Linked DNA regions of Callithrix jacchus. The protein of the gene in region 5 purifies or fractionates together with the protein of the main gene of each other region. This does not show direct contact. Links are inferred from orthologs where the notes say so. Each region holds a gene or a part of one and is shown on either strand. Other genes may lie near its edges.

Evidence for each region.
Region 1: the proteins of RBBP4 (region 5) and TRPS1 purify together in Homo sapiens (co-immunoprecipitation; 3 studies listed by BioGRID and IntAct, with this or other methods). This does not show direct contact. The link is inferred for Callithrix jacchus from reciprocal best matches to the Homo sapiens genes RBBP4 and TRPS1.
Region 2: the proteins of RBBP4 (region 5) and JARID2 purify together in Homo sapiens (affinity purification with mass spectrometry; 3 studies listed by BioGRID and IntAct, with this or other methods). This does not show direct contact. The link is inferred for Callithrix jacchus from reciprocal best matches to the Homo sapiens genes RBBP4 and JARID2.
Region 3: the proteins of RBBP4 (region 5) and BRMS1L purify together in Homo sapiens (affinity purification with mass spectrometry; 5 studies listed by BioGRID and IntAct, with this or other methods). This does not show direct contact. The link is inferred for Callithrix jacchus from reciprocal best matches to the Homo sapiens genes RBBP4 and BRMS1L.
Region 4: the proteins of RBBP4 (region 5) and EP300 purify together in Homo sapiens (affinity purification with mass spectrometry; 4 studies listed by BioGRID, with this or other methods). This does not show direct contact. The link is inferred for Callithrix jacchus from reciprocal best matches to the Homo sapiens genes RBBP4 and EP300.
Region 6: the proteins of RBBP4 (region 5) and CBX5 purify together in Homo sapiens (affinity purification with mass spectrometry; 6 studies listed by BioGRID and IntAct, with this or other methods). This does not show direct contact. The link is inferred for Callithrix jacchus from reciprocal best matches to the Homo sapiens genes RBBP4 and CBX5.
Region 7: the proteins of RBBP4 (region 5) and SIN3A purify together in Homo sapiens (affinity purification with mass spectrometry; 11 studies listed by BioGRID and IntAct, with this or other methods). This does not show direct contact. The link is inferred for Callithrix jacchus from reciprocal best matches to the Homo sapiens genes RBBP4 and SIN3A.

The regions. Positions count from the first base shown.
Region 1 is NC_133517.1:81,803,795-81,807,906, reverse strand, and holds part of TRPS1 (zinc finger transcription factor Trps1), read right to left. Parts: coding exon 3,301-4,112; intron 2,394-3,300; exon of another isoform or gene 2,256-2,393; intron 1-2,255. UniProt on the Homo sapiens protein: Transcriptional repressor. Binds specifically to GATA sequences and represses expression of GATA-regulated genes at selected sites and stages in vertebrate development. Regulates chondrocyte proliferation and differentiation.
Region 2 is NC_133505.1:15,205,814-15,209,660, forward strand, and holds the end of JARID2 (protein Jumonji), read right to left. Parts: intron 2,643-3,847; coding exon 2,460-2,642; 3' UTR 684-2,459; downstream 1-683.
Region 3 is NC_133509.1:70,446,897-70,449,722, forward strand, and holds the end of BRMS1L (breast cancer metastasis-suppressor 1-like protein), read left to right. Parts: intron 1-222; coding exon 223-340; 3' UTR 341-1,872; downstream 1,873-2,826. UniProt on the Homo sapiens protein: Involved in the histone deacetylase (HDAC1)-dependent transcriptional repression activity. When overexpressed in lung cancer cell line that lacks p53/TP53 expression, inhibits cell growth.
Region 4 is NC_133502.1:191,898,270-191,902,911, reverse strand, and holds the start of EP300 (histone acetyltransferase p300), read right to left. Parts: upstream 3,259-4,642; 5' UTR 2,034-3,258; coding exon 1,940-2,033; intron 1-1,939. UniProt on the Homo sapiens protein: Functions as a histone acetyltransferase and regulates transcription via chromatin remodeling. Acetylates all four core histones in nucleosomes. Histone acetylation gives an epigenetic tag for transcriptional activation.
Region 5 is NC_133508.1:69,245,467-69,249,578, reverse strand, and holds part of RBBP4 (histone-binding protein RBBP4), read right to left. Parts: intron 1,725-4,112; coding exon 1,579-1,724; intron 1-1,578. UniProt on the Homo sapiens protein: Core histone-binding subunit that may target chromatin assembly factors, chromatin remodeling factors and histone deacetylases to their histone substrates in a manner that is regulated by nucleosomal DNA.
Region 6 is NC_133510.1:65,270,037-65,274,667, forward strand, and holds the start of CBX5 (chromobox protein homolog 5), read left to right. Parts: upstream 1-1,372; 5' UTR 1,373-1,487; intron 1,488-4,631. Other genes in the region: HNRNPA1 (heterogeneous nuclear ribonucleoprotein A1), read right to left, coding at 14-130, 689-703. UniProt on the Homo sapiens protein: Component of heterochromatin that recognizes and binds histone H3 tails methylated at 'Lys-9' (H3K9me), leading to epigenetic repression. In contrast, it is excluded from chromatin when 'Tyr-41' of histone H3 is phosphorylated (H3Y41ph).
Region 7 is NC_133509.1:22,463,477-22,467,588, reverse strand, and holds part of SIN3A (paired amphipathic helix protein Sin3a), read right to left. Parts: intron 2,076-4,112; coding exon 1,837-2,075; intron 471-1,836; coding exon 287-470; intron 1-286. UniProt on the Homo sapiens protein: Acts as a transcriptional repressor. Corepressor for REST. Interacts with MXI1 to repress MYC responsive genes and antagonize MYC oncogenic activities. Also interacts with MXD1-MAX heterodimers to repress transcription by tethering SIN3A to DNA.

The DNA.
Region 1 (4,112 bases), on a different chromosome or scaffold from region 5:
TTTATCTAGTACAGCTGTTTTGTAGGGAAGTAACACTCCTACTTCTACCAAAAATGTTATAACACTGAAAATTTTGATAAGAAAAATAACAGTCAATAGAGAACGGGTACACAGTCGAATTAAATGATACATAATAAAAGAAATGCAGTGAGCAAGCCACTCATTAGTGAAATATAATAACTCAGTCATAATAGGAGTTTGAGGTATTATAAGTAAATACTAAAAATTAAGAGAATGGACCAAATCCGTTGCTGACTAGATCATGCTTGCAGTTCCACCATGTTTAACTTAGTTCTTAAAAAGAAAACACCCATGCAATGGAATCGATACTGAGATTTTCACTCAGCTCTAGACCAACTCTTCTGCCTCTCAGCTATAGTCATTTTATAGCTAAAGGATTTCACATATTATACCGTTCATGGCTTATGCTAATTTTTACTATACTCTTAAGTCTTCTATATAAAGCACTCAAAAGCATAGCATATTTCACAATAACACAGAACCATGGCAGAAGTTTCCCAACATGAATAATCTGAGTCAACAAATTTAATTATAAAGATAATATGTGATAAGGTAAACTTGTCCTCTTATTCTATCTTAAAATGGGGCATTTTTGAAAAATGCTTTGATAGCAGATCAAGTTCTAAACATCCATGTGACTATGTCCTTTCACATCTCTGGGTCTACCATTACTGTTCAGCTTTCAGTGGAGTTTCTTTATCTTTTTTACTAAGCTGTGACTTCTGAAATTGTAAGGCTCCAAATTTCAAATATCTCTGTAATAACTCATAAACAGATTAGAGATAAACTACTCAGCACCTTAAAGGATCTCTGGTCAGACAACTACATCAGGATTTAAACATAAGTGTAAGAATATTTTAATGCCCTAGGGACAAGTGCTATTTAACATTTTAGCTAATAAAATGCTGAGAAGTTCACTTACATTCAAAATGAACAGACAACTGTCATTTGGTATAGAAGCCTAGGTCCTCAGAAGGGTTCCAAGATCATATAATAGTGAAGGATTAAAATGTAACTCACCTTGGAAATTTCAGCTTATTCATAACTACTGTGAAACCAAAAACTCACAGGGATCTCATTTACATAAAGATATTCACTGAGCTCCCATTAGGCATCCTGCCACTGTGCTAAATTGTGCAGATACAGTGATGAACAAGAAAAGAATACTTCTCTTTTCTCTGGAGCTTACTTTCATCACTGAATATTAACTAAATTTGGACATTATTCAGTAATAGTCTTATTCATACTTTTATTTCTTGGATGATTAGTTTGTTTACCTAAAGCATGTGAAAACCCTGTTTTCCCAGACAGATTCTCAAGAAATGCCTCAGCTGCATCAATAGAAAAATAACTTGTCCAAATGTTCTGGTAGCTAGATGTATCAGAATGTGTGTGTGTGTGTGTGTGTGTGTGCATGCATGTGGGTGTGTAGGTCCATAATGTATATATGTTCTGGCTGGTTTCCTCATGATTAAAGAAAATCATGATTTCTCAAAAAAAAAAAGCTGTAAAAAGAATGAACTATCTGATTTTTATATCACTCAATAAATGTACATGCACAATGTGCACATGCGCACATATCCACACTAGTAAAGCTCAGAAAGCAGCTGATGTCTGCGAGCCTCAGAAACAAATTAACATGCAGCTAACATCAGAGGAGCCAGAAACACTCATTGCAAGTGTGAACACATATTTGATTGCAGGACTGTGTCTTTCCCAGGGCTGACCTTATAAATTAAACAGTGTAAATCTCAAGTAAGTGTTTTCTGAACATTTTGATTCACTGTGAACATTGGGATGCCCTTCAAATTAACATTCCATGTTATTAGCCTATTGTTGGACATGAACTGCTCCATTACTGGTGACTGAAACAACATACACACTCGCACTAACACTCAGCTTTTAAAAGGAATGGAAGAAACTGTCTAAATATCCTGGGATGTAAAAATTGAAGTGAATAGATTTTTTTAGAGTGATATTGACACAGTAAGTAAAGCTTTCTACTTTGATGCCCAGAGGCATAATAATGAGAAAGTACCTAATGAGCAGTAAATAATACCTGAAAGCAGGGTACCACCACTGTTTTGATGAACTAATTCCTATTTATAACCAACTCTCAGTTTAAATGCTCCCTGCTCAGGAAGGCATTTCCTAATCCACCCTATTCGGTTATGTTATCATTATATTCAAACACACTGCCTTGTACTTCGTCTTTTTTTTTTTTTAATATTCATTCCCTATACAGACTGTCAAAAATTGTCGACGCCGACTGTATTGCAAGTCGTCATGGCGGGGTATTGGGAAAAGTTTTCAATTAGCAATAATCGTCCCTCAGATAAACATTGGCTACGATACTGCCACTGCACAAAGCTTGTACTTCATCTTTTATAACACTTACTATTCTTGTAACCATCTAAGTGTCTCATCTTCCCTATTAAACTGTACGTTCCATGAGGTCACTGACTATGTTTTCTCTTGCATATTCAATGCCTCATACAATAGGATTTTTGAAATTAATTAATTAAGGAATGGGTACATAAATGAAATAAAAATGCATATCCTATACTTATCTTAAATTATAAAATATTAACTGAGAAAGTTAATGTTTATAAAGAGAATAGGGTGAACACAGAAGGAAAACACAAACATGTCCCACATCCATTCCAGAATCTTGAATAACTTAAGCAGTTTTACCTGCTTGGAGGGGCAAGTGTACATCCCAAATCACAAATATTACAAAAATTCTCATCTTTAGATTACTGTTTGCATACCAAATAAGGATGTTGCAGGATTATTCAAAGCTAGAAGAATATATAATCTCATTTTAAAATAAAAATGAGCAACGCTTTCTCAAAATTTTTTCTCAGAATAGAGAATAGGATATATTTATAATAGAATCTCTAACTTGGGAGCTGCTCTGTCAAAAAATATAGCATGTGGAGTCACATTTAATAAGGACAAATAAATAGACTATGGTAAATTGGTAAACTCATCAGCATTATTAGAATCACTGTGAATTTAAAAATACAATCAGTAAATGGTATAAAACAAGTATGAAACACAAGAGCATAGTCCTAAAGAAGGAACCAAATAAAAATCTATAGTGATCACAGCTATAACTATATCACCTGCAAATCTCTGATGATCTTCTATGTGGTCTTCTCTTATAACTTCCCCAAGTCATCAGAATCACTCCCAACAGCTCCTAGTTCAGCCACCTTTCTGTGGATTTCTTCTATTATTTTGTTTCTATATCCCTCCCACCCTCCTATGACTTACCTGTAGTGTCGGGAAATCTCTTCTTCCACCTGGGTAATAAAATCACATTTGGTACATGAGTGTTCTTTGCTTTCCTTGACAGCCTGCTGCCCATCTGATCCTTGCAGGTGATTTGCTTCTTGTTTGACATCCGACGCTTGGGACTCATGCACGCTCTCATAGTGAAAGAGGAGTATGTCTACATCAGGGGTGGTGAATGAACACTGGTGGCACTGGTGTTTGACTCTCGAGCTTCCGGCCGCCCCAGGAGACAAATGCAGAAGCAAGAGCGCACAGTGGGAACAATTACTTTTTCTACAAGCAAAGGGATAAGTAATTTCTCCAAGGTGCTTTTCTGGGCTGCAAAGTCCTCTGGGACAGAATGGACAGTGTTTAATGGTACACTTGTGAATGTTATGGAGCTGTTGATAATGACGGAGAAGTGGCCCCACTACAATTACATCGGAGCCATGGCTTTTGGAATATCGGAAGTCACAGAACTGACAATTATAGCTCGTTACCATATTATCCTCAGCTCCCTTGCTGGAGAAGTCCTTCTTTTTAGCCCCACTCGAACTCTTGTCTGCCTTGATCATTGTCTCTCCTTCTGAACTTTTGGCTAGATCATTCTGATTAATGACAGAGCCCCTGGAAAGCTTATCATTCAACTCTGGATTAAGGCCGCCTGACTGCACTGCTCCATGCTGCTTGCCATAATGTTCTAGCAGTTTAAGTGAGCTAGATGACTCACAGCTGAAACTACAAAATTTACACCAGTAGTAACTGGTGGCCTCTGTACCATTTTGTCTCGAGGAATCGAGGGGCTTGATGGG
Region 2 (3,847 bases), on a different chromosome or scaffold from region 5:
GTGAGGACATGAAACGGTAAATGGAGCTAGTTTGTAGACAAACTTTTCTAAATACAGGCCTCCTTAAGGCCACTGTAAGGGGGCAGGTCACTGGGGGCTGCCCCAGGAGGTAGCATGGGGGCAGGGCCTGGGCCAGGCTGTGGAGGCTACACCGGGCTCACTTCTGCGTGAGGCAGGGAACAGCCATTTCATAGGGGGTTTTCCTTTGATCAGTATGATAGCCAACCTGTCCAAACCCTACTTTCACACCCCAGGGCCCAAAAGAACAGAAGCCCAAAGCAATCCTCCATACCTGCTTTCTCCTGAAAAGAAACTGGTCCCCTGGTGATATGTTCCGTCTATCACTCCTCCAGCCCAACGAGAGGGAGGACAGATGCCCCATTGAGATGAGCCATAACACCCTCAATGTGCCCAGTGTCATCTCATCATGGAAGCTCAGCAGGGGTGCCACGCTCAATGGGAGATGAGGTGGAATGGCTGCAGCCTGTGGCCAGCTCTGGCCCCGCGGGCTGGGCCACATGGAAACCATTAGGTTCTGCTGAAAGGGGACCCCCCCCCCGCCACCAGCAGGTGGGAGCTGGAGGGGCAGGACTGCAGCATGAGAGATCCTCTGCACCCCTGCCCATGGATGAGAAGAGAGAGAGCTCATTCCATTCAGTCATCTTCCACAAGACAGACAAATGTCCAAAAAACGTTGATTTTATTATTAAACCTTGTAGTACAAACCTGAAAAGTAAACAAAAAACTCGCAATAAACCACATGAAGTCTCCCCCCAAGGGAGGGTGCAGAGCAGCGCTAATAAATTAAATGTCAAACTGTAAGCCATAGGCAGAAGTTTACTGTCAAAAAGAGGGAAAGTACACAGCAAGGCCATAGAAACCGGACAACCACATTGGAAAACACGACTCTGGTTCTGTAATTGTTAAATATTCCAAAACAGTTCAGTCTTCTGCAACAACAACCAACAAAGTGGATCAGAGGACGCTCCTGGCAGTCACCACTGGCAAGCTCAGTGCAACATGGGTAGCTACGGATTGATGGATCCAATTATGAAACAAAGAACAGCTTGTGAAAAGTTTCCCTTTTTTATTCCACACATACTGTACACACAACTGGAGAAGGGCAACAGCTACTCCATTATTTTGTTGTTGTTGTTCAGTGATGTAAGCAGCACTTATAAATGTTACAAGAAAAACCCTGTAAGCATCCAATCCAACCGATGAAGAAACTGAAATGTAAGGCTTTTCTTCATCTTGTCTTCTCTCCCCCTCCCCACCCCCCACCGAGAAAAAGGCTCAAGTATTTAAAACAATTTACAGGCGTATGTACAAAAGGGATGGGATTTTTTTTTTTTCTTTTTTTTCCTTTTTGTTACAACATGAAGAGAAAAAATAGACAAGATGAGCGCAAATGCATTTTCACATTCAAAAAGAACTGCAGGCCTCCTAGTGGCTCTCTATGGGTGATCATAAATGAAAAATTTAAAAAGCAAGATTAATGCTGACTTGTGAAGGTGTCAAACAAGAAGCGGTGAGATGGTGATGGAATGTTAGAAGATTGCACGTCGATGACCAAGAAGCACTTACGGCTTCCATCACTTTTTTTTTTTTTTTTTTTTTTTTTTTTTAATATCTTAAGGATGCTATTGAAGGGTTTTTTGATAAAGTAGCCAACAGCACCAAAAAATAACAGAATGGATTTCCTAATGAAATCAGGCACAGGTCTCCCTCACGTGACCCCTCCAAGGCAGGCAGTCTCTTCCGTCTTCCTTGCTGGCGTTCCTTCCTTCCTTGAACAGATGCATAGTGATGTGCTGGTGGAGAGCCCACTCGCTCCCGGCTCCTCGTTCCGCCTGTGGTCAGGAAACAACGTCTGCCTTCAGCTGCCACAACCGCCCAGAGAAACAAAACGGGGGTGCCCTGGCTTCCCAGCTCACAAGCTCATCTGGCCACGGCAGACAACGACAGCCAAAGCAAAGCCATTTCTTTTCAAGTTTTGTGTGTGTGTGTGTGTGTGTACACGCGCGCGTGCGTGTCTCCTATCCCTTCTAAAAAATCTGCTCACATGACTGATGGTTTTTAAATTTGTTCTCCAAACTTCACCCTCTTCAAAAATGGGTTAAAAAGCCTTTTTTCCCCCAACAGTTACAAAAAAAAAAAAAAGAAACAAAAAAGGCTTTTGTCAGCCAGGGGCAATACAAATTAATACAGCCCCTCAAGGGTTTTTAAAACAGTGACTATACGGCAGTTTCCAAAATCTGACTGCAGTATCTAGGTTTTCTAAGTACAAAAAAAAGTTCAACAGTTTAATGCTAAAACAAAATTAGTTCTCTAAAACCAGAAGAAAATCTTCTTTAGAGCTAGTGCAAAGACAGCTTGAATCCTACAGCAAGTACTCCAAACTAGAATATAATAATTACAAAAAAATATATATAAATCAACCACGGGCGTTGGCATCTTCATGATGAGCTCGAAGCACTTTTGGATGAACCGGAGGCTGACAGCCGGGAGGGGGGCACGTCCACCGTGGCTCTCTTTCGGGGGCCTCTTTTTGGTGTGGGTTTACTGAGACAGTTCTCAATGCTGCCGTTTTTACCAGACACTTTGCCGCAGATCTGATTGACCAGACTGATAATCTGTTCCTGTTTGGGGGTGAGAGGAAGACACAGAATTAATAACAAGAGCTCTGTCCCTGAGAGTCACGCAGGGGCAGGTCTAGGGCAGAGATCAGTGGCCAGGGGTCCCCTCCACCACACCAACTAACAGCTTTTAAAATGCCCCGAAGAGGCTCAAGAGGCAGCACATCTCCCTTTCTCAGCTCCGCCGGATGCCACATTGCATGCACGGCCCTTTCATCCTCGCCACCACCACCCTGGTGTCCACTATGGTTTCCGAGGTGGGTTAACCAGCTCATAAGGGCAAGGCTGGCAGGGGAGCACTCAGCAAAGAGACCCCCGGGGGTTTGTTGCGTCCTGGATGGTGACACAAATAACCAAGCTGCTTGACTCACTTTAGCTACCAGCCACTTAACCTGCTCATGCAAATAAATGCAAACACTTGTCACCTATACATATTTCTACTACTTCCTCTTCTGTTATCTGCAGCAAACAAAAACGGCATCCCTGCAATTCACCCGAGAGAATCGGTTATCTGTCGGCACCAAAACTGTGTAACTTTCACACAGTACATCCTATCATCCCATTTTTTGAAAAGAACAAGGGGAGGAGTAGCAAACGTGCATCTCACGAGCATCTCTCTGGGCCAGGGGTGTCTGGGAACCACACTAAGCCCAGCAGGGAGGAAGCCAGCCATGGAAGGGAACTTCTGAGGGTGTGATCCCCAGCCCTCTGGAAAGCCCCGGAGATGAGGGTGGAAAACAGTGACAGCTGGCTCCCATCACAAAGAAGTTAAAGGTGTCCTCGGAAGAGGTGGGCCACATATCTGTAATAACACAATAGCTGTGACCCTGACCGCTTGAGGGACTGATGATAAACACTGTTAACGGATAAGTGGATGAGCTGCCTTAAAACCCACTTAGAGGGCTACAGCTACCTGACCATGAGGAGGAGCTGGGGTGTGCAGTTACAAGAGGGCAGCATTCCCCCTTCTGTGTGCAGCTCGCTAGATGGACAGCACCTGCCTCAGACCAGTGCCCTCACAGCAGGCCTGGCAGCGGCCGCCCAACACCCCACTCACTGGACCCTCCCTGCTCAGCTAGCCTGCAAGGGCCGGGGGCACAAATGGCTCCAAACTCCACAGGCAGCCTCATGGTCCATGAGAACCCAAGCCATGAGCTCAGGGATTTGCAATCTAGGTTCACAACCACACAAAGTGGGGTGTTTAAAGC
Region 3 (2,826 bases), on a different chromosome or scaffold from region 5:
GTTCAAATGGAAAGTAAATTTTACCAACTCTATTAAGAAGTGTTGTTGAATGTGCTATTTTTGGCAGCACGCACTGCTGATATGCAGCATTCTGCTAAAGACAATTATGTACATACTGAGTCTACTGTTGTAGGCCAGGTTATTTTGGTTTTATAGGTAATCTAAAATGAATTGAGGAGACATATTGTAATTCATTCATTCATTCTTTTTTTTTCTTTTTAGTGCTGTAATTACAACAATTAACCATGATGAAGTTTGGTTTAAGAGGCCTGATGGAAGCAAATCTAAGCTTTACATTTCACAGCTGCAGAAAGGAAAATATTCAATTAAACATTCGTAATCATGATTTAAGTGTTATCTAAATTTACCTTATTAGTGTTACCAAGCGTAATGTGCCATGAGAGTAAAAAAATGTATTCAATAATTTAATATTCTCGCTGAATCATGAGAGAATGTGTATTGTAGGTAGTACTCTTAAGTAGATCTCATTGATATGTTATTAAAAGAAAACAAAAATTTTATCATGATCCTTATATTGATTTGCCTCTTAGGTCTGATGACCAATAAGTATACTGTATATGGTAGGGGTTTCTTTCTAAGCATTTTTCTTTGGTTTTTAAAAAAGTTATGCAAATTTGTCTTTAGTAAACTATGACTACATTTATCTGCAATTTAAAAAATTTTCCATATCTTTGTCATTCATTGTGTGTTTGTAAATAAGACATAAAATGTTTCCTATAAATGGTTTGTACTAGTACATTAATGTTAAATCAGAACTGAAATTTAAACATATATATATATGAGTATACACACACACACACACACATACACACACACACACATATACACACACACATATATATATGAGGATGTATATATAGCATCATCACCTTATTTAGAACTGATGGCCTTACCTTACAATCTTGTTTTACCCAAAATTAAGCTATTGGGTTTGAAAGCTGAAAGGAGCACTTTTGTAGAATAGCAACTTTTCTTTTCCTCTCCTTGATTGTATGGTGGGGTGGTGACCTATTTTTACAAATTGTACTTAATGAGTAAAATTAGTGTCAAGTGATAACATGCTTCTACCTGTATTTCTGGTGACCCTTTAGAGGCAGGTATTTATACCTGGTATTTATGATGCAGTGTATAAGTGGTGAACAGTAACTGACAGTATTGTGGTGCTTGCTGTACATGTCTGATCTTTTGAAACAGATTTTAGTAAGCATTTTCCAGAGGTAAAACTACACCCTTATTCTAATTTTATTCCTAGGGAAAATAGGGATCATTTCCTTGAATCTATTTCCAAATTAATATTTTTGTCTTTGGTATTTCTACACTTTAAGGCCATTTGGTGCAATTTAGAAAGTGTTAGCCTCCCTTCCCTTAGCCACATTTAAAATTAACTTCCAAAACCTCAGGAACAGTAAAAAGAATAAAGCCCTCAATATAGCAGCACAATTGGCTGTTGTATATATTTAGGGTACAACCAAATCAAGTATTCCTGGTGGTCATGTGCACTTTAATTTCTGTTACATTGGGAGTTAAGAGGATGAAGAAGAAATCTACTTATTAACACTTACTGCAGGAATATCTGCATTATTCCTTTTTTTAAATTATTTTACCTCTGCAAACATCCTGTGCAGATCACTACTTCACAGTTGCCAAATTTTAAAACACTTAACTTCTGAAATTCAGTATCAGCAAAGTTATATTACTTTATTCTGTTTCTAATTAACCTTAACAAATGTACATAATGTCATAACCCAATAGTATTTGACAGTACTTATGTATACAATGTTTGATAAGCATTTTTAATAAGATTTGTATTTTTAAATTTAGTATATAATAAAAAGATGTGTTTGAGTGTGATTTGTAGTGTCTTGGATTACTTATGTGTATTTAGTTCTTTTTATAACCTGTCCACTTCTAAGAAAGATTTGAATAGGTTTACATTAGTAGATATTGAGTGGGCCAAGTGCACTGGCTCATACCTGTAATCCCAGCACTTTTGGGGGTGTATTTAGATGTTCAAGACAGTTAAGTTATACTTAATTAAAAAATATATGCATGTATGTTGTACTCTGATTACAATGTACTGTATAAGTTTTGGAATTCTAAATAGAAAATCTTTTTTTAAATTTTTAGTTTTTGATATGGAGTCTCTCTCTGTCACCCAGGTTAGAGTGCAGTGATGGTCTTGGCTTACTGCAACCTCTGCCTCCCAGGTTCAAGTGATTCTCCTGCCTTAGCCTCCTGAGTAGCTGGGATTACAGGCAGGTGCCACCAGGCTCAAGTCATTTTTTAATTTTTAGTAGAGACAGGGTTTTGCCAGGCTGGTTTTGAACTCCTGACCTCAGGTGATTCGCCCACTTCAGCCTCCCAAAGTGCTGGGATTACAGGCATGAGCCACCATGCCCGGCCTAGAAAATCTTTATTTTAAAACTATGATTTAGTACATTTACTTTCAAAACTTTAGTATTTCTATCATGTGTACTAGTCTGTAATATTAAGATTCAGAAAAGCATATGCTTATCTATGATTAAAATGCTATAAAATATGTATTTTTTTGTTGGTGTTTTGCCATTAGACGTCTGGTCATAAAGTTTAATTTAGGAAAAAGAAACTCCAAAATGTGATGTAGTAGCTGCTGCTGATCCTGTGTTATGATCAGCCTCTGTCTCAGGATCAATTTCTGGACTTTTATTGTCACAGCTCCTAGTTTTTCACATTCAATCCATCCCCTCCGGCTGTTTCCCATTTTTAAAAAAGTAAGTATCACTAATGCAATTCTTCAACTAGTAATTATTAGCAAATAGCAATGGC
Region 4 (4,642 bases), on a different chromosome or scaffold from region 5:
AAACTTTTAGTATTACCAATGAATTAATCAATCTCAATGTTGAGGGATTTTTTTAAAACTACAAAAGCCCACTTGATACATTTAGAACTTTTGTAATTATTCAAACATATTGCAAGTAGCAAAACAGACCAGATATGAAGAAAGCAGTAGCACACCTGAACATAAGCAGTTAAACAATACAGCTCCAAGATGAAGCCGCTCAAATCAGGACTCATCAAGGTAAAGTGTATTAAAAAGCTTCCCCTACTTTCCAAGTCTCTGGCTAACTCCAACGTAAACTCCATGACATTACACCAAAACTAAAATGCAAAAAGTACCACATTTCACAAACACTAAAGGAACACCACAAAAATCTACAGGTGAATAAGTGTGTAAAGATGATCTAAAAAATCCTTCTGAATGGCACTTTCGTAGGTGCAAAGGAATACAATGATGTGCGTCTATGTGCGTGAATTTTGAAGAAAAAAAACAGCTAAAAAATATCCTTGGAGACTACAGTACCTTCATAGAATAGGTACAGATCAAAGTACATGCATAATCAGTGTTACAAGCCTTAAATAGAGGAACTCTGCAAGATTCCTATTTCCCAATTGTTGCAGGTTAACTGAAATTCATTTTACATCTTTCTTATAAAAGCAACGAATTCAAAGCATTTGTTCCGTCTTTCCATATTCACTCTGAAATGAAGCCTACTTAGAAACATGTTCTCCAAGTTCTCTACAAACTCAAAGGGTACATTTAACTCCATTATGCACTCTCACTGGCAGATGGAAGGATGACGTTGAGCCTGTTCTCAGGGAGTTAAAGAGATGCTCCGTAGTAAAGGGGAACATCTTGTGGGCTGTCAGATGGCCAGCCATTCTTCATCTTCATTATTCCAGCAAAGAAAAGGTCCTCGCCCATCAGGATAACACCATTAAACTAACTGTAAGAAGAGAATGAAGGGGATGATGGAAGAAGTCTCCCTGAACTTCTCTGACAAAGGGGCTGGTCCACAACTGAATGAACTGAAGAATCCGGAAAGCTTTTAAATAAAAATCTTGATCTCCAAATGTGTTTAAAAGTGTAAAAAGACAAACACAAAAACACCAAAGCTAATGCACATTTTAAACTTTTGTATAATCAGTTCATGTTCGTAGTTCCTGACTGGAACTCTTTCAACTTCTAACGTTGATTTTCAGGTACATAACTCCACAAAATTGTTTATCTTTTTTCTTCCTCCTAAAATGATAAAGTGAATGCAAACTACAAAGAACATGACCCTGTTCTCACAACCTGAAAATCCAGAGTTTCAGACATTTTGGTCTCACACCAAAACTGGAAGATGTGAGATGAACTGCACTCCATATTGATTCTTACAGCAAATAAGAAAAAGCAGGGGGAAAAAGCTAAGAAGGGTAGGTAAGACAAAACAATTGTTAAACTTCGCTTCTAATCTGAAATCTTGGACCTCGCACACACAAAAATCAAGTTTTTACATCCTATTTAACAGAAAATATTCTGCAAAGGAGAGAAAATTTTGAAAAGGGTGGAAAGTAGAGAAAATAGAGTAAGTACAATGAGGAGAAAGGATTCGAAATTCTTCATTTACCAAGAACAAAAAAAATTAAAACTTAAATTGCATAGAAGCTCTTACTCATAAATGCACTGGCATTTCCCAAATTAAACTGCACGGGAGCAACAATACAGGCCATTTCTATACAGCACCCACTTACGAGCTCTAATTCCAGAACACACACCGATATGACACAGTGTTGCAACCAATGTATTAGGAGGCAAAGAAAATGGTTGGGCTACTGGACGTCTTCGATCAGCTCATTCAAATACCTTTAAAATTAATTAAGGGACAGGGAGAGAGGAAAAAAAAAAAATGGAATAAAGGAGCACCGAGTAGAAAAGATTAAGAGGAACGTGGAAGGCCGGGGCTGCCGAAACTAACCTGTGCCATCGCTGGCCGACGCCGAGAGGGCCGGAGATGAGAGTTTAGGCCGCTTGGCTGAAGGCGGCCCCGGTTCCACCACATTCTCGGCCATTTTTAATTCTTTCGGAGATACAGGCGAGGAAAACCAGAATCCTCAGGAAATCTCTTCGGCCCGGGGTCCCCGCCCCGCACCCAGGGGTGGGCTGGGGGGCTCCGACGGCACCCGAGGGGGTGGGGGAAGTTCCTTTTTCTCTTCGCCGGGTCGCAGTGGCTGGAGAGGGATGCGGACTCGATAGAAAAGGTAGGGGCAAGTGCTAGGGGCCGGGCCTGGGCCCAAGCCCGGAGGAGGGCACAGGAGCACAAATTCACCGAGCGCGTCTGCTGCGGCGAATTCCCGAGAACTCGCGGCTCTAGAGGCGCAGTCCCCGGCCCGCCACGGCCGGCCCCTGCCCAGCCGAGGTCTCTCGGAGCTCCGCCGCCGCCATCAGCCTCTTCCTCCTCGGCGCTGTCCTCCTCCTTCTCATCGCCACAAGGAGGCGGGGGCGAAAAGGGGGGAGAGGAGGAGGCGACGAGAGACACTCACCTCCTCCCGGTGCCCCCTCCCGGGCCTGCGCCCCCACCCTCCGAACCCTCCTCCTGCCGCTGCCGCCGCCGCACCGGCCCCTAATGGCCGCAGAGAGCTCAACCGAGCCGAGAGCCAGGCTGGCGCCGCCGCCTCACATCGCACGGCGGCCGGCGGAGGCGCGGCAAGAACGCCAGGCGCGGAGCTGGCCGGCCCAGAGGACCGAGGGGGCCGGGCCGAGCAGCGCCGCCCGCCCGCGCCGACGCCAAACCCACCGAGGAGGCCCCGCTCCGGCGGCGGCGCAGGCGGCCCCTCCTCGCGCCGCGCTTCTCTCCTTCGCCCTCCTCTCGCGCGGAAAATAAATAAATACGGCCGCCGCTACGGTCCCCTCCGCCGGCGGCCAGGTGCTGGGAGAGCCCGCCCCCCCGGGGCTCCGCTCGGGGCCGACCGCGACGGCGGGCGAAGGCGCCGCGGGGCGCGGGGTTATGTAATGGTCCCCCCTAGGCGTCGACGCCGGCCCCGCTCCCGGGCCGCGGTGGGGGTGTGTGCGGACGGGAGGGGGCTAGGGGTCGCCTCAACCCGTGCGCCCCAGGCCCCCTGCCACTGTCTCGGCCCCAGCCGCCTCTCTCCGTCCCGGATCCCCTCCGCACTCTCTGGCTCCCGCAGTTCGCACTCAGCTCGGCGTCCCGCTTGCCCACTCTCGCCCGCTCCCTCTCGCCTCTCTCCCCCCCAACCTAGCACACAAACAAGATGGCGGCTGTTGTTTCTTCCCTCTGCCGAATCCTCCTTACAGGCTAGCGGTAGCGGCGGCGGCCGGAAATGAGCCAAAGGAGGGGGGTGAAAAAGGGGAGGGGCCGGGCCTCCGAAGGGAGGCGGGGCCTAGGCCCGAGCCGCTCACACAATGGGGGAAGTGGCGCCGGGGGCGGGGCCGGTTCCAATCACGGGATCCGCCCTAGTCCCCAACGCGGTTAGCGCTTCCGCAAACTCCCCCGGCGACACCCTGTGGCTCCCTTTAAAGGGGAGGATTTTTAAGAGGGGAGAGGATTTTAAGGGGGGAGGGGTGGGGGCGGACTCAATCTATTTTCTGTCGGTCGATAGTTACGAGGGAAGGTTCCTGGCTTTGGTCTCTTGTAGGGGACCGGTGGGAACCTGGGCGACTGAGCCCGGGAGCTGCGCCGAGGAAGACGCCAAGTCGCCACTTAGATGGCCAAAGGGGAGCGCCCGTGGGGCGGCCCTGCTTCCTGGCCTTTGAGTGGCGGGTCCCCCAAACCCCGGTCGAATCCATAAGCCAGGGTGTACCCACTGCCGAATACCCAGTGCATCCTCACTTCTCCATTGGCTTCCCAAAGGGAGTAGTTCACATCCAAAAAGCACGTTGATTACGAGTTGTTTTCAATTTCCTCTGAATTTTCCTTTTTTTTTTTTTTTCCACAACGAGCATATATTACTTTGACCAGAAAACAAAAATCACAGCAGTGGGAAGGAAGATGTTTCGGCACCAGACCCAACATTTCTTGCCCTCCACGTGTGTCCGTCCATACGCCCCTACCAGGTAGCACTCTCACCACAGAAGTCTTTCTTTTCTGAACACGCCTGGGACCTGAAGACATTTTTAGGTTTCTTTTTTCTTTTTTTTTTCCGTCTGCTCCCAATAGATCAAATTAATAAAAGACCACGTCAAGCCAGTGCCTTATCTAATGTAATTATGGGAAAAAGCAAAAATGTGGTAAAGGTAAGGATGGAAAAAAGCAAAAATGTAACGGGGGGAAAGTCCAGTGTGTGGGACCCAGCAGTTTTGCAGCTGAGGTCGGAGACATGCTTTCGGGTTTCTACACATTACCCTGTGTTTTGACCTTGTGTAAATTGTTACTGGAGAAGGTGGTATGGGTGTAAGTGACCCCCAAAGAAACTCACAAACTATTATCTATTGATATGGTTTAAAGCTTTTTCTCAAGCTGGGCTCAGTGGCTCACACCTGTAATCCCAGGAACTTTAGGAGTCCAAGACAGGTGGATCACGAGGTTGGGATTTGAAGACCAGCCTGGGCAAGATGATGAAAAGCCACCTCTACTAAAATACAAAAATTAGCCTGGTGTGGTGGCACGCACCTGTAATACCAGCTACTCAGAGGCTGAGGCAGGAGAATCGCTTGAACCCAG
Region 5 (4,112 bases):
TTGAGACCAGCCTGACCAACATGGTGAAACCTCGTCTCTCCTAAAAATACAAATATTGGCCGGGCATGGTGGCGCATGCCTGTAATTGGCGTCTGGGATTACAGATGTCAGCCACTATGCCCAGCCTGTAGGTTAAATTTTTATACACATAGGACGTGCCATGGTTAAGTCATTTCTACCACTTTAAACCTAGAAAGGGTAATTTATGTTAATGTTTCCAAACGTTTTCTTTTTTTATTAATGCTCCTTTAAGAAGGGTTTTAAGAACTAGCCCTGGCCCATGAAATACCATGGATATCCTAGGTACTCTGTGCATATCTGTGCTTTACACAATCAACCAGTAAGATTTACATGTACTCTCACACATACACAAACCAATTTTCACCTCGTTAGGGGTAGTATCTCCCATGTTAAGAATGTACAGCAGGCTAGGCGCAGTGGCTCACATCTATAATCCCAGCACTTTGGGAGGCCGAGGTCAAGAGATTGAGACCATCCTGGTCAACATAGTGAAACCCCGTCTCTACTAAAAATACAAAAATTAGCTGGGCATGGTGGTGTGCGCCTGTAGTCCCAGCTACTCGGGAGGCTGAGGCAGGAGAACTGCTTGAACCCAGGAGGCGGAGGTTGCGGTGAGCCGAGATCGTGCCATTGCACTCCAGCCTGGGTAACAAGAGCGGAACTCTGTCTCAAAAACAAAAAAAAAAAACCGTACAGCAATATGGCTAGGTGTGGTGACTCACATCTGTAATATCAGCACTTTGGGAGGCTGAGGAGAGTGGATCACCTGAGGTCAGGAATTCCGAAACCAACCTTCTCCAACTTGGTGAAACCCCATCTCTACTAAAAATACAAAAATACACCACAAGCATGGTGGCGGGCCTCTGTAGTCCCAGCTACTCAGGAGGCTGAGGCAGAAGAATTGCTTAAACCTGGGAGGCAGAGGTTGCAGTGAGCTGAGATCACACCACTGCACTCCAACCCGGGAAACAGAGCAAGACTCTAAAAAATAAAATAAAATAAAGATGGTGCAGTGGCTCACCCAAGTTTGAGACTAGCCTGACCAACATGCTGAAACCCCATCTGTACTAAAAATAACAAAAATGAGCCAGGCGTGTTCGTGGGCACTTATAATCCCAGCTACTTGGGACACTGAACTAAAAGAATTGCTTGAACCTAGGAGATGGCGGTTGCAGTGAGCCGAGATCGTGCCATTGCATACAAGTCAGGATGACAGAGCGAGGCTCCATCTCAGGAACAAAAAACAGACAAACAAAAAACACTACCAATTAATGTACAGCAATAATATATATTTTTGCTTCTTTCAATTATAGAAATTTCCTCCGCCAGCATCAGATGAGAAAAGTTCATTGCAAAGGTATAGAACCAAGGATGTGTTAAGTATTTCTTCTGACATCTACAACTCTACCACTGCAAACTCGGGCTTTCCCCCAAGCTTAAATATTATTTCTAAAGTTGGAGATTACTTTATCAAACTAAATATATAACTTTTACAATTCAAAGACATGAAAGATATGACCCATACATGTTTACTTCCTTCACCTTTAAGATTCCTACCTCCTTTCTCACTGTCGTAGTGTGATGCATCAAACTGAGCATCATCATTAGGGAGTTGCACACTGGCTATCACAAGATGGTTTTGTTCATCCGATGTGTGTGTTCCCAGCACAAGTCGATGAATGCTGAAATCTTTCCCTTCTGGTCTGTAACAGCAATATACAGTCATTATTCAAATTAGTAACATCAAGAAAACACAAAGTCAACAATATACATGTTATGTAAAAGGGACTATTACAACCAGGACTTTTCGCCCGGGGCTGGAATGGAGTGGTGCAATCTTGGCTCACTGCAACCTCCAGCTCTTGGGTTCAAGCTGTTCTCAGCCTCAGCCTCCCAAGTAACTGGGACTACAGGCACCTGCCACACTTGGCCTCAAGTGATCCACTGACCTCAGCCTCCCAAGGTGCAGGGTTTACAGGCAAGAGCCACCATGCCTGGCCTTATTTTCTACTTAATTATTCTGGAGAAAAAGTAAAACGTTTAATGGAATAAAATATGAATTAACTACTCACTCACTACAATAGGTTAGAGGTTAAGAAAACCATTGTTGGGTATGCTAATGATTTTGTTTACTAAAACTTTCATTAAAAAGGAAAAAAGGGGAAAGGGTGTAAAGAAAATCCAAAGAAAAAAATGAAAAAAGGAAAAAGAGAAAATTAGATTAAGCAAACCAATTTTTCAGGTATTTACTAAATACCTAATCAACAGACACATTGCTCCAAATGCTATGGAAGTACAAAGATGATTAAGACATGAGTTTTGTCCTTTAAAAATCCTCAGCTGGCTAATCCCAGCTACTCAGGAGGCCAAGGCATAAGAATGGCTTGAACCCAGAAGGCAGAGGTTGCAGTGAGCGGACATCGTGCCACTGTACTACAGGCTGGGTGACAGAGAAAGAAAAGAGAGAAAGAGAAAATTAAAAAATTTGCCTAAGATCACACAGCTACTAAGTAACAGAAGCATACTGAAGTCCCAATCTGACTTTTGATATGGGAAAGCACACCGGGAGAGAAAGCCGATTAAAACTTACTTTTTAGTGTCCTGAATGCAATCTTAAGACATTCTGTACTCCATACTGGGCCAAGGGCATCCACACCATCTGGGAACTTATTAGAAATGCTAATTCTCCCATCTACTCCAGACCCATTGAATCAGAAACTCTAGAAGGCGGAGCACAACTATGTTTCACAATACTGCCAACTGATTATGATGCATATAAAATTTTGAGAACCCCTGGTAGAGATGGCAAAGACGCTACACAAGCAGAATTCATTGAGCTTTATAAATTGACTGCCTGTAAAATGGAGAAAGAGAAAATGGAAAACAAATGCCAATTAGGATAAAAAGAAATAGGAACAATATGAAGAGAAAGTTGGGGTAAGCTCTTCATGGAAGGAATTATTTCATTTACAATATGTCTAATTGGGGAAGCCAGTAAGATACATCAGGGAAGACAATAGCAAGCAGAAGAAAAATCAGGAAAAGCTCTGGAGAAGTTAGGTCTAAAGATACCAACAGGAATTCTGCACAGATGTGACAAGCAAAGCTTTGAGAACATCTACCATACACTGAAAAAACAGAAGTGATTGTTTCCTATGATCCGTGAAATAAATTTAAAGAGAAATGAAAAAAAAAAAAAGAGAAATGAAAAGAGGGATATGAACAGCAAATTGGAATTACCTGCATATAGAAGGCTAGAAAAAGAACAGGAAGAATGAAGGAGAGGACAACGCTACAGAACTACAATTGTAGTTTTTCTTTTTTTTTTTTTTTAAGGGGGAAATGGATATGAATAAACACCAGAAAAAGAACACACAAAGTAAACACTGCATCAGAGCTGCTTGCTTGTAATTTGTAACCCTCATCTTAAAACACAAAAATAGGGCCAGGCACTGTGGCTCATACTTGTAATCCCAGCACTTGGGGAGGTCAAAGTGGAAGGATCATTAAAGCCCAGAAGTTAAAGAACTGTCTGGGCAACACAGCAAACATTTTTTTCAAAATTTAGCCAGGCATGGTAGTGTGTGCCTGTAGTCCCAACTATTCCAGAGGCTAAGGCAGGGGGATCCCTTGGCCTAGGAGGTCAAGGCTGCAGGGAACTCTAATTGTGTCACTGCAACCCAGTCTGGACCACAGAACAAGGTCCTGTCTTTTTTTTTTTTTTTTTTTTTGAGACGGAGTTTCGCTCTTGTTACCCAGGCTGGAGTGCAATGGCGCGATCTTGGCTCACCGCAACCTCTGCCTCCTGGGTTCAGGCAATTCTCCTGCCTCAGCCTCCTGAATAGCTGGGCAGCTACTTGGGCAGGTTAATTGCTTGAACCCAGGAGGCAGAGGTTACAGTGAGCTGAGATCATGTCCCTACACTCCAGCCTGGGAACAAGAGCCTCCATCTCAAAGAAACAATTCTCATTATCTGGATTTGCTAAAGCAAAAAACTAAGATGATAGTACAGATTTCAGCCTTGGGGAATTAAGTATTTAATTCTTGCTTTCTAAACCTAGCTAGTCTTTCTATTTTTTTTATTTTTATTT
Region 6 (4,631 bases), on a different chromosome or scaffold from region 5:
TTCCAATTCTTACCACACAGTCTGTGAGCGTTCCCCATTGCTCAAAATGGCTCCTGAGGCTCTCATCGGTTGTTTCAAAGCTCAACCCTCCAATGAAGAGCTTCCTCAGCTGTTCCGGCTCTTTAGGAGACTACAGTGGGGGAGGCGGAAGTGTTAAATGAGCTGTAACACCAAACAATTTCCATCGAGGAAAATCAAAACTAGACAACTGTGTATGTAGCACTTATTGTTCGTTCAGATTGCAACAAGCCATGTGCTTCTCTCTAACAGGGGAGAAGGTATGTTGGGGGTTGGGAGTGCTGCGAAATCCAAAGCGCATGCGTCCCTAGTCGCCTTCCGACGCACGCGCAACAAAGGCTTAGGCGGGAGGGGTACATCGCCAAAATGGGACTAATCGCTCTTTTAAAAACTCGCTCACCAAAGCAAGGTTTAGAAAAGGAAAAGCCTTATGTGCGTAAGAATTTTTGCTAAGACTATAGAGTGCTGCATAATAACTCATGATTGGCGCGAGCGGCCTCATGGCGATCAACAGGACAAAATGGCGACTTGAACTTTGGGAGGGGTAGGCCGTGGCAGCAACCTAAAAAACTGTAGAATGGGCTGGTGAAAGGAACGAAACCAAGCCGCATCTTACCAATTCAGGAAAGGAAGAGGAAGAAATTCAAGTTGGAAAGAGCGCCTAACTCACCTCTGACTTAGACATGATCGCGGGGAGAAGAGAGACTTTAACGATGCTGCTTCGGCGGCGTCCACGGGCAGAAAGGAGCAAACTGACGAACGTATCTGCCAGCCTACCTTCGGCCTTTCTTTTTTACCCCGCCTCCTCCCTTTCAGCATTGGTACACTCCGCCCTTGAACAGTTCTGATTGGATGTGTGAAATCTCTTCCCCCTACTATTGGCCTGTGGTGCCACACTGCTGTGTAACGTCATTCCTTTGGGCGGTCTACGCCCTCTCCACCCCTTGGAGTTCATTGGTTCCCGAGTAATATTATTCTTAACCAGTCTGATTGGCCAGCCGATAAATCATTCATATTTGAATATACCTTGGGTGTTTAACGCCTTTTTAATCTTCCCCGCACAAATATTACGCTTGGCAAAGCATGATTAACACTATGTGTCAGAAAAGCAGTTAGCCAGCAGGTCAAAATTTTGACTGCTTGTTGAGCGCACGTGTAGTAAAATGGCGAGTTTTGCGCAGGCGCATTAAGAACTTCCAGCAGCCTCTGGGAACACGTGAAATGGCGGGCAGTACTAGGCAGTGACCCTACGGCGCCTGCGTATTGGCGGGAGTTGGTTCCAGCTTTGCGCATGCGTGGTGGGCGGAGAAAGGGTCCGTTCCCGGATTGGTTGCGCAGGCGCAGGGAAGGATCCGTTTTGGCGGGCGGTTGGCGTTGCGCAGAAGGTGGTGGCGGTGGTGGCTTGCGTTGCGGCCTCACCATACAGCAACAGGGCAGACGTTAGCGTGAGTGATCACTCTCAATCCCGGGTAAGTGGCAGACAGTCTTCTCTACCCATCGTAGGTCTCGAACTGACTCTATTTGGGCCCGTTATTGTGTGAAATGAATGGACCGCGGGGTGGGGGATAGTGAAAGGGCAGCGGTGGGTCGGGCCAACCAATAGAAGAACAGGGGGCGGGATGTTTTAATCCCTGTAGGTTCTTTGGAGCGGTGCAGCTGAAGACTTTGACTGGCTTGCGTATACGCCAATTGGGTCTGCCTTGAGCTGCCGACTGATGGGCCCTTGGGGCCATCGGAATGTGGGAGACGGGTTTCCCCTCCTGAGCTGCGTCTCACTGAGCCAGTAAGCGCGAAGCGCGCGGTAGGTTGGGCTTCTCCAGGAGGCAGCGGTTTGACTCCAATGGGGAATGCGGGAGTCGGGCGGTTAAACTGATGGACCGAATCTGGAGCCAGTAGACGGACAGCCTAAGGAAAGTGCTCGGACCAGTCGTCCAATCGACTCCAGAAGAGGGAGGTCTTCGATTTGGGGTTGTGAGGAAGGGGAGTCGGTGAATGTAATGGCGTGTGAGGGTGAATGTTTTATCCACAGTGACTTCTCTAAGGAAGCCTTTAGGCCTCTGTCCCATAAACCTCCTTGAAAGCGTAAGTTTGCTCCTGGCTGCCTCGACTTGACATTTTCCCCCCCACCTCCTCACCACTTGAGGTTTGGAGAACAGGGGAGGGTTTTGTTGTTGTTAAGTAATACTTTGAGAAGTCGCTTCTTTAGGAAGCTGTTAAAATGTTAGAACGAATAGGAAAAATCACAACATACTGTCATGGAAAGGCGTTCGAGAAATATTTCTTTCCTAATAGTGCATATTTCTGAACTAATATGTTGTAGGTCTAATAAAAAAGTTTCGGAAAGCTACACCCTAAAGTGTGTCAATCCTAGGGACACAGTAGGATCGAGGCAAGTTGGATCTTTAATGTTTAAAACTTTGCAGGGTTAATGATCTGTGATTAAAACTAAATAAAAAATGAAGTCAGTTGTTTTGTGTTTCTAGTCATAATCACATACCACCCCTTTTCTGTTTTATATAATCCATGTACCCAGTGCTTTTATTTTAGTCTCTTTCTCCCGGGAACTTTTCCCGCTCATGTTTCCCCTTTCTTCACACCATTAAAGATATCCTAAAGCCCCTCTTTTTGCTGTTCCTTTGAGAATATCTGACTTTGAAATAAAAAGGAAACTGCTTAAAGAGGGTAATATTTAGAGTTCTAGGGAAAGAAGACTCATCCATCACCTGGATTATTCCTTGCTTTTTTATTAGATTTTCTTCCAAGTGTATTTTGCATGCAGTCTATCTCCTTTTGGTAATACCCACTCTGCTTATTCCAGGATCTTTTGGAGAAATAAATCAATTTTCATAACATTGGCTGTATCAGAGTCTTACTGTTTTATTCACTGATTTATTCAGGATCGAGGGAAAATATTTACTGAAAATCAACTACCTATGAAGTACACTTACGATTAGAGACCTTTCTGACTTTACCAAAGACAAACAATTTTAGTGAAGTTTATGAACATTGGAGAGATTTCCATGTTCTCTGGCAGTAGCAAAAGGACATATTTATAATTTATATCTGACTTTAAACCTATTTGCAGGTATTCTAGTAATGGAGTTATTGAGCTGAGAACTAACTAAAGTGATACAGGTTAAGGATATCTGTCCTGGATTTATTTACGTTTGAAAGTAATACAGTCTTGAATTATAGCAAGGTTTCTCAGCCTTAGCACTGTTGATATTTTGAGGCAGACAATTATTTGTTGAGGAGGCTCAGGGTGTCCTGTGCATAGTGAAATATTTAGCAGCATCCCTGGCCTCTACCCAGTGTATTCTAGTAGCGTCACCCCACTCGCTACATCCGCATTGGTGACAATCAGAATGTCTCCAAACATTGCCAAATGTCCAGGGAGGTAGGGGCGAGGGTAGAATCTCCCAGTTGAAAACCATTGATCTAGAATACTGGAGTATGCGGGGGCACAGTTTTGTGTTCCTGTAGTCCCAGCTACTCTGGAAGCTGACACGGAGGCAGGAGGCTTGAGCTCAGGAAGTCAAGGTGTGAGATGATTATGCCTGTGAATAGCCGCTATACTCCAGTCTGGGCAGTACAGCAACACCCTATTGCTAAAACAGAAATAAAATGCTAGAGTTTATTATCTTTTCAAAATCCATTATTTTAGCAACTGGTAAGTAGGTAAAGGTGGGAGAAGATTGTTGAAGTGTTTTTGTTTTTTAAGACCAAGTTTTGCTCTTGTTGCCCAGGATGCAGTGCAATGTTATGATCTCAGCTCACTGCATCCTCTACCTCACAGGTTCAAGTGATTTTCCTGCCTCAGCCTCCCGAGTAGCTGGGATTACAGGCACGCACTACCACACCTGGCTAATTTTGTATTTTTAGTAGAGATAGGGTTTCTCCATGTTGGTCAGGCTGGTTTTGAACTCCTGACCTCAGGTGGTCCCCCCACCTCAGCTTCCCAAAGTTCTGGGATTATAGACGTGAACCACCATGCCTTGTGGATGGTTGAAGTGTTTAGGGAGTGGCCTTTGGTAAATGGATGACTAAATCCTGATGTTTATCTCCTTAGGACATAGAATTGATTATTGTCCTACTTGATAAAAGAAAAATTTCTTTAAAATTATTACCACTTCTTGGCCTGGCTGCAGTGGCTTACGTCTGTAATCCTGCCACTTTGGGAGGCTGAGGTGGGTGGATCATTTGAGGCCAGGAGTTTGAGACCAGCCTGGACAACATGGTAAAACCTATCTCTCTACTAAAAATATACTAATTAGGTGTGGTGGTGAGTGCCTGTAATCTCAGCTACTCGGGAGGCTGAGACAGGGAAATGGCTTGAACCTGGGAGGCAGAGGTTGCAGTGAGCTGAGATGGTGCCACTGCATTCCAGCCTGGGTGACAAAAAAAAAAAGTTTTTACCACTTATTGCAATTTAAACATAAGATTGATTGTTTCTTGGGCTTCCTAAAATAATGGCAAATTTGTTTTTGAAGAAGGTAGACTTTGCCTTACATGCTTCTTTTTCACTTGATTCTAGCTTCTTTCCTGGTATTCTCTTGGATCCATGTCTCAAACTTTTTTACCTCAGTAAGAAATATATTTCACTAAACAAACAA
Region 7 (4,112 bases), on a different chromosome or scaffold from region 5:
AATACAAGGTATTGAGGGAAATAGGCAGTGGGAGAAGTGGAGAATGGAGGCAGGAGGTATAAGTTGAAACGAGGATAGTAAACTAGGAAACTAGTCAAACAGCTTAGGTATAAAGTTTAGATTTAAAATGGTAGAATGAGGAATAGAAAAGGCTATGACAGCTATGAAGCAAGAATCAACAGGTCTTAGAGAGTCTCACCTTCATTTAACGAAGGTAATTTCCAGAAATCAAAGCTGTGCTAAACAGACTAGAGTCCTCCTACAGATGTAGAAAACCCCAGCTCACCTCATCGTAGATACTCTCAATCTCATTGAGTAAGCTCTTAGACCTCAGGACCTTGGTGTCATTCTGTTTAAAGTTGATACCCTGGTGGTCCAGAGACTTCAAGTAGTATTTCTCATTTTGTTCTCGCCATACTTTGTTAAAGCCTCTCTGAGCTTCTCGCCATTCTTCCTCTTTCATCTTCAACCTAGTGAAGTGGGAAGGGATGGAAACAACATATGGGAATTCAGAGGGTTTAGAACAAAGAAATCTGCCAGGTTTACTTTATTTCAAGAAAAGTTAAAGCTATATTAGGTCTGTCAAAATTATTGGCAACTTAGGATGAATGTTATCAAATCTGTCTTGAACTCTGTTTCATGAGGAAATTACTCATCCAAGACTTATTTTGGGGAAATGATTTATCTCAGTCAAATAATTTCCCTAGAACAGTTACTTATCAAACAGCATTCCAAGGAATACCTTTGAGATTTAAGGAAGTCTTCCTTGAAAAAAACAGTTCTCTTCTTTTGCCAGCAAAAATAAAGTTAAACATGTTTCTTTGCTGCAGGATTTTGCAAAATGTTCACAATGCTAATGAAGACATAGAAGTCCAAGAGCAGAGAACGTGCACAGTAATGTTCCTCTGGATACAGTCTGGAAAGTTCTGACCAGAACTGATTTTAATAACCCAGAAGACAACAGACTAAGACCAAAAAAACAGCACTAAAATGGAAGAATAATCAACATCTCAAAAGCCAGAGTTAAATGTTACAGGCAAAAAGAAACCATCAATCTGTGCCAGCTCTTGAGGGAAAGATGAAGGACAAATAAAATCTGGGTATTTGTCAACAATGCAGCAAACAAGAATTAATTTTTACCAGATGATACTTAGAGAGAACCAAGCTCACAGCAAAGGATTCAGTGTGGTCAAGAATGACATAGGGCTGGGCATACTGTGGCCTGTGCTATAATCCCAGCACTTTGGGGAGGCCAAAGCAGGAGGATTGCTCGAGCCCAGGAGTTAGAGGTCAGCCTGGGAAACATAGCAAGACCCTGTCTGTATTTAACAAAATTAACAATTAGCTGGGTATGTGGTGGCGCAGGCCTGTAGTCCCAGATCCCTCCTACCCTGAGGTAGGAGGATCACTTGAGCCTGGGAAGTCAAGGCTGCAGTGAGCTGTGTTCACACCACTGCATTCCAGCCTGGGTCAAAAAGTGGAGACCTTGTCTCAAAAAAAAAAAAAAAAATTAATTAAAAATAAAAAAGATTTTAAGTTAATCCTGAGTGGCAGGAACATGGGTGGCAATTATCTTTTCTTTTCTGTATTTTAAAATACTCCCTCAAACATATACACAGAGCCTTCCACCATGAACCTACAAGATTTGTTCTCTAACGTTGGTCACAAAGAACCCCCAAAAGAAGTTCCACTCTGCATGTAAATTCCAACAACCAGGGCTGGGGAGAAAGAGCGGTCTCATGGGACAACCAGGTTGAAAACAAGAGCCTTATTTAGTGGGACACTGACACAGTAGTGAAGTACACTAAAGCACCGAGGGCACATTTGCTCAGGTACCTTTTAAGGACAATTGGGACAGCGATGGAAGGATTCTTTCTCAGACCATCAATGATGTCAGCTGCTTTATCAGCATATATCCTCTGGAGTGCTTTTCTATGGATGACTTCTGATGTGCCCCCAAGGGTGTTGTCCAAGCGAAATTTGGCTTGTTCCTCAGCAGACAAGCGGGAAAGCTTCTTCTGTATTGCTTCCAGAACCCGGATTGTTGCCAGATTGGTTTCTAAAACTACATCAAGCTGAAGAGGAAGACAAAGGTATGCTTAGGACCCAAATCAGAATAGAATATAGTGGTTAGACGAATAAGGTAGGGAGTTGAACTCCTTGGATTTGAATCCTGGTTCTGCCTTACTAGCTGCATAAGGCTGTTTCCTTACCAGTAAAATAGGGATAACAGCACCTATTACTCTAATAAGCTTCTTTTTGGATTAAATGATATAATCTACATAAAGTATTTAGCACAATGCATGGCACTTTAAGAACCATAGGACTGAGTCAGTAGTCTACAAAGCAGAAAAAAAAAAGAACCATAGGATTAAGTTGGATACATGGTAGTTATTACCTCCATCACCACCAGTGTGTGCCTTGCTTAGGACTACTGATCTTGCACCAGAGGAACCTAACAGGAGATGACTTTACTGATACGTTTCTCTGAACTTTCCTGAATTGCTAAGATCCATTATGAACAAACATCATCAAAACAATCCCAAAAGACCTCTGTCTTGAGAGTTTTTAGGTTTAACTTGAAATATTTAAATATATTCAAATACTTAAATATTCAATAGCCTTGTTCTGCATCCAGTAATAGTAAAAGCAGTGACTATCATACCCTAAGGAGTTTGCTGTTGCATCTGTGGGTAATCATTTAAATTCTTATTGAACTCCTGGCAACCTTTGATTCTAGTTTTTCCCTAGCATAAAATAAGGTTCTTTAAATGAGAAACAGAAAATGAAGTAAATGGGCCAGGTGCGGTGGCTCACGTCTGTAATCCGAGTACTTTGGGAGGCCAAGGTTGGTGGATTATGAGGTTAGGAGATTAAGACGATCCTGGCCAACATGGTAAAACCCATCTCAAAATACAAAAATTAGTTGGGCATGGTGGCGCGTGCCTGTAAATCCAGCTACTCGGGAGGCTGAGGCAGGAGAATCACTTGAACCTGGGAGGCAGAGGCGACAGTGAGCTGAGATCACACCACTGCACTCCAGCCTGGTGACAGAGCTAGACTCCGTATCAAAGAAGAAGAAAAAAAAGAAGTAAATGAGCAGTCTCAAGAACCTACAGCCAAATGTTTGCAGAATTGTTCCCTACGTTTTCTTGTTTTGAGACTCTGGTAGTCATTTTGTCAATAGTTCTGGCCCCTCTTGCTCTCCAAATACAGACAAAAAGGGACTAAATTTCCTGGCTCCCTTATGAATGAATAGGGTCATGTAACTAGTTCTGGCAAATGATTTGTTATGAGTTGAGTAAAAGTAATGTTTATTACTTCTAGGCTGGAGCATTTAAAGGTAAGAGATCTTTCTGGGCTTTCTTTTCCTTCTAGTAACTGGCAACATTCATGATGGTGGCAATCCCTTGGCCTGGGTCCCCTGTGATTCAGACACGCCAAATCCCCTGCTAAACACCAACGTACACGTAGAATGATTAGAAATTAAACCCAATGGTTTTACAAGTCACTCAAATGTGGGAATTGTCTGTACTGAAGCATTACTAACCTATTTATGATTGGTAAAGCATGTTCCTTCAAACTAGCCCACCCCATCAAATCTTAAACACATGGACACCCCACACTTCTTTCATCTTTGCCCTTGTAGTCACAAATGAGAAATGAGGCTGCCTCTCATTTGCAGGCATACCAGTTGAGAAAGGATGGGAACATTCTGTCAAAAACAGATGCCAAGCTCTCCTAACTCATCAGCTAACCCTACTAAATATAAATAACAAAGAAATGTCTTCTTTAGTTTGGTAATACTCCTATGGAAGTTAAAATCTGTCATGATTTAGTTTTCTGCAAATAGCTGCAACTCCTTATAAATGCTGGGGCAAAGATGGCCAACCACCTGCCAGTGGTGAGGCAGCATGTGGCTGTTCATTAAAAACACACCAGAAACAGCTGAAGCAAGTGTGACAAGGGAAAACTGGCAAAGAGCTAAGAGTATTAAAAAAAAAAAAAAAAAACACTAGCAAGATACCTGTCCACACAAATAAGCACAGCCAGTCAATTTAATGTAACAGACACACTAAATAGGATACATGTCATTTTACCTCTTTAGAAAC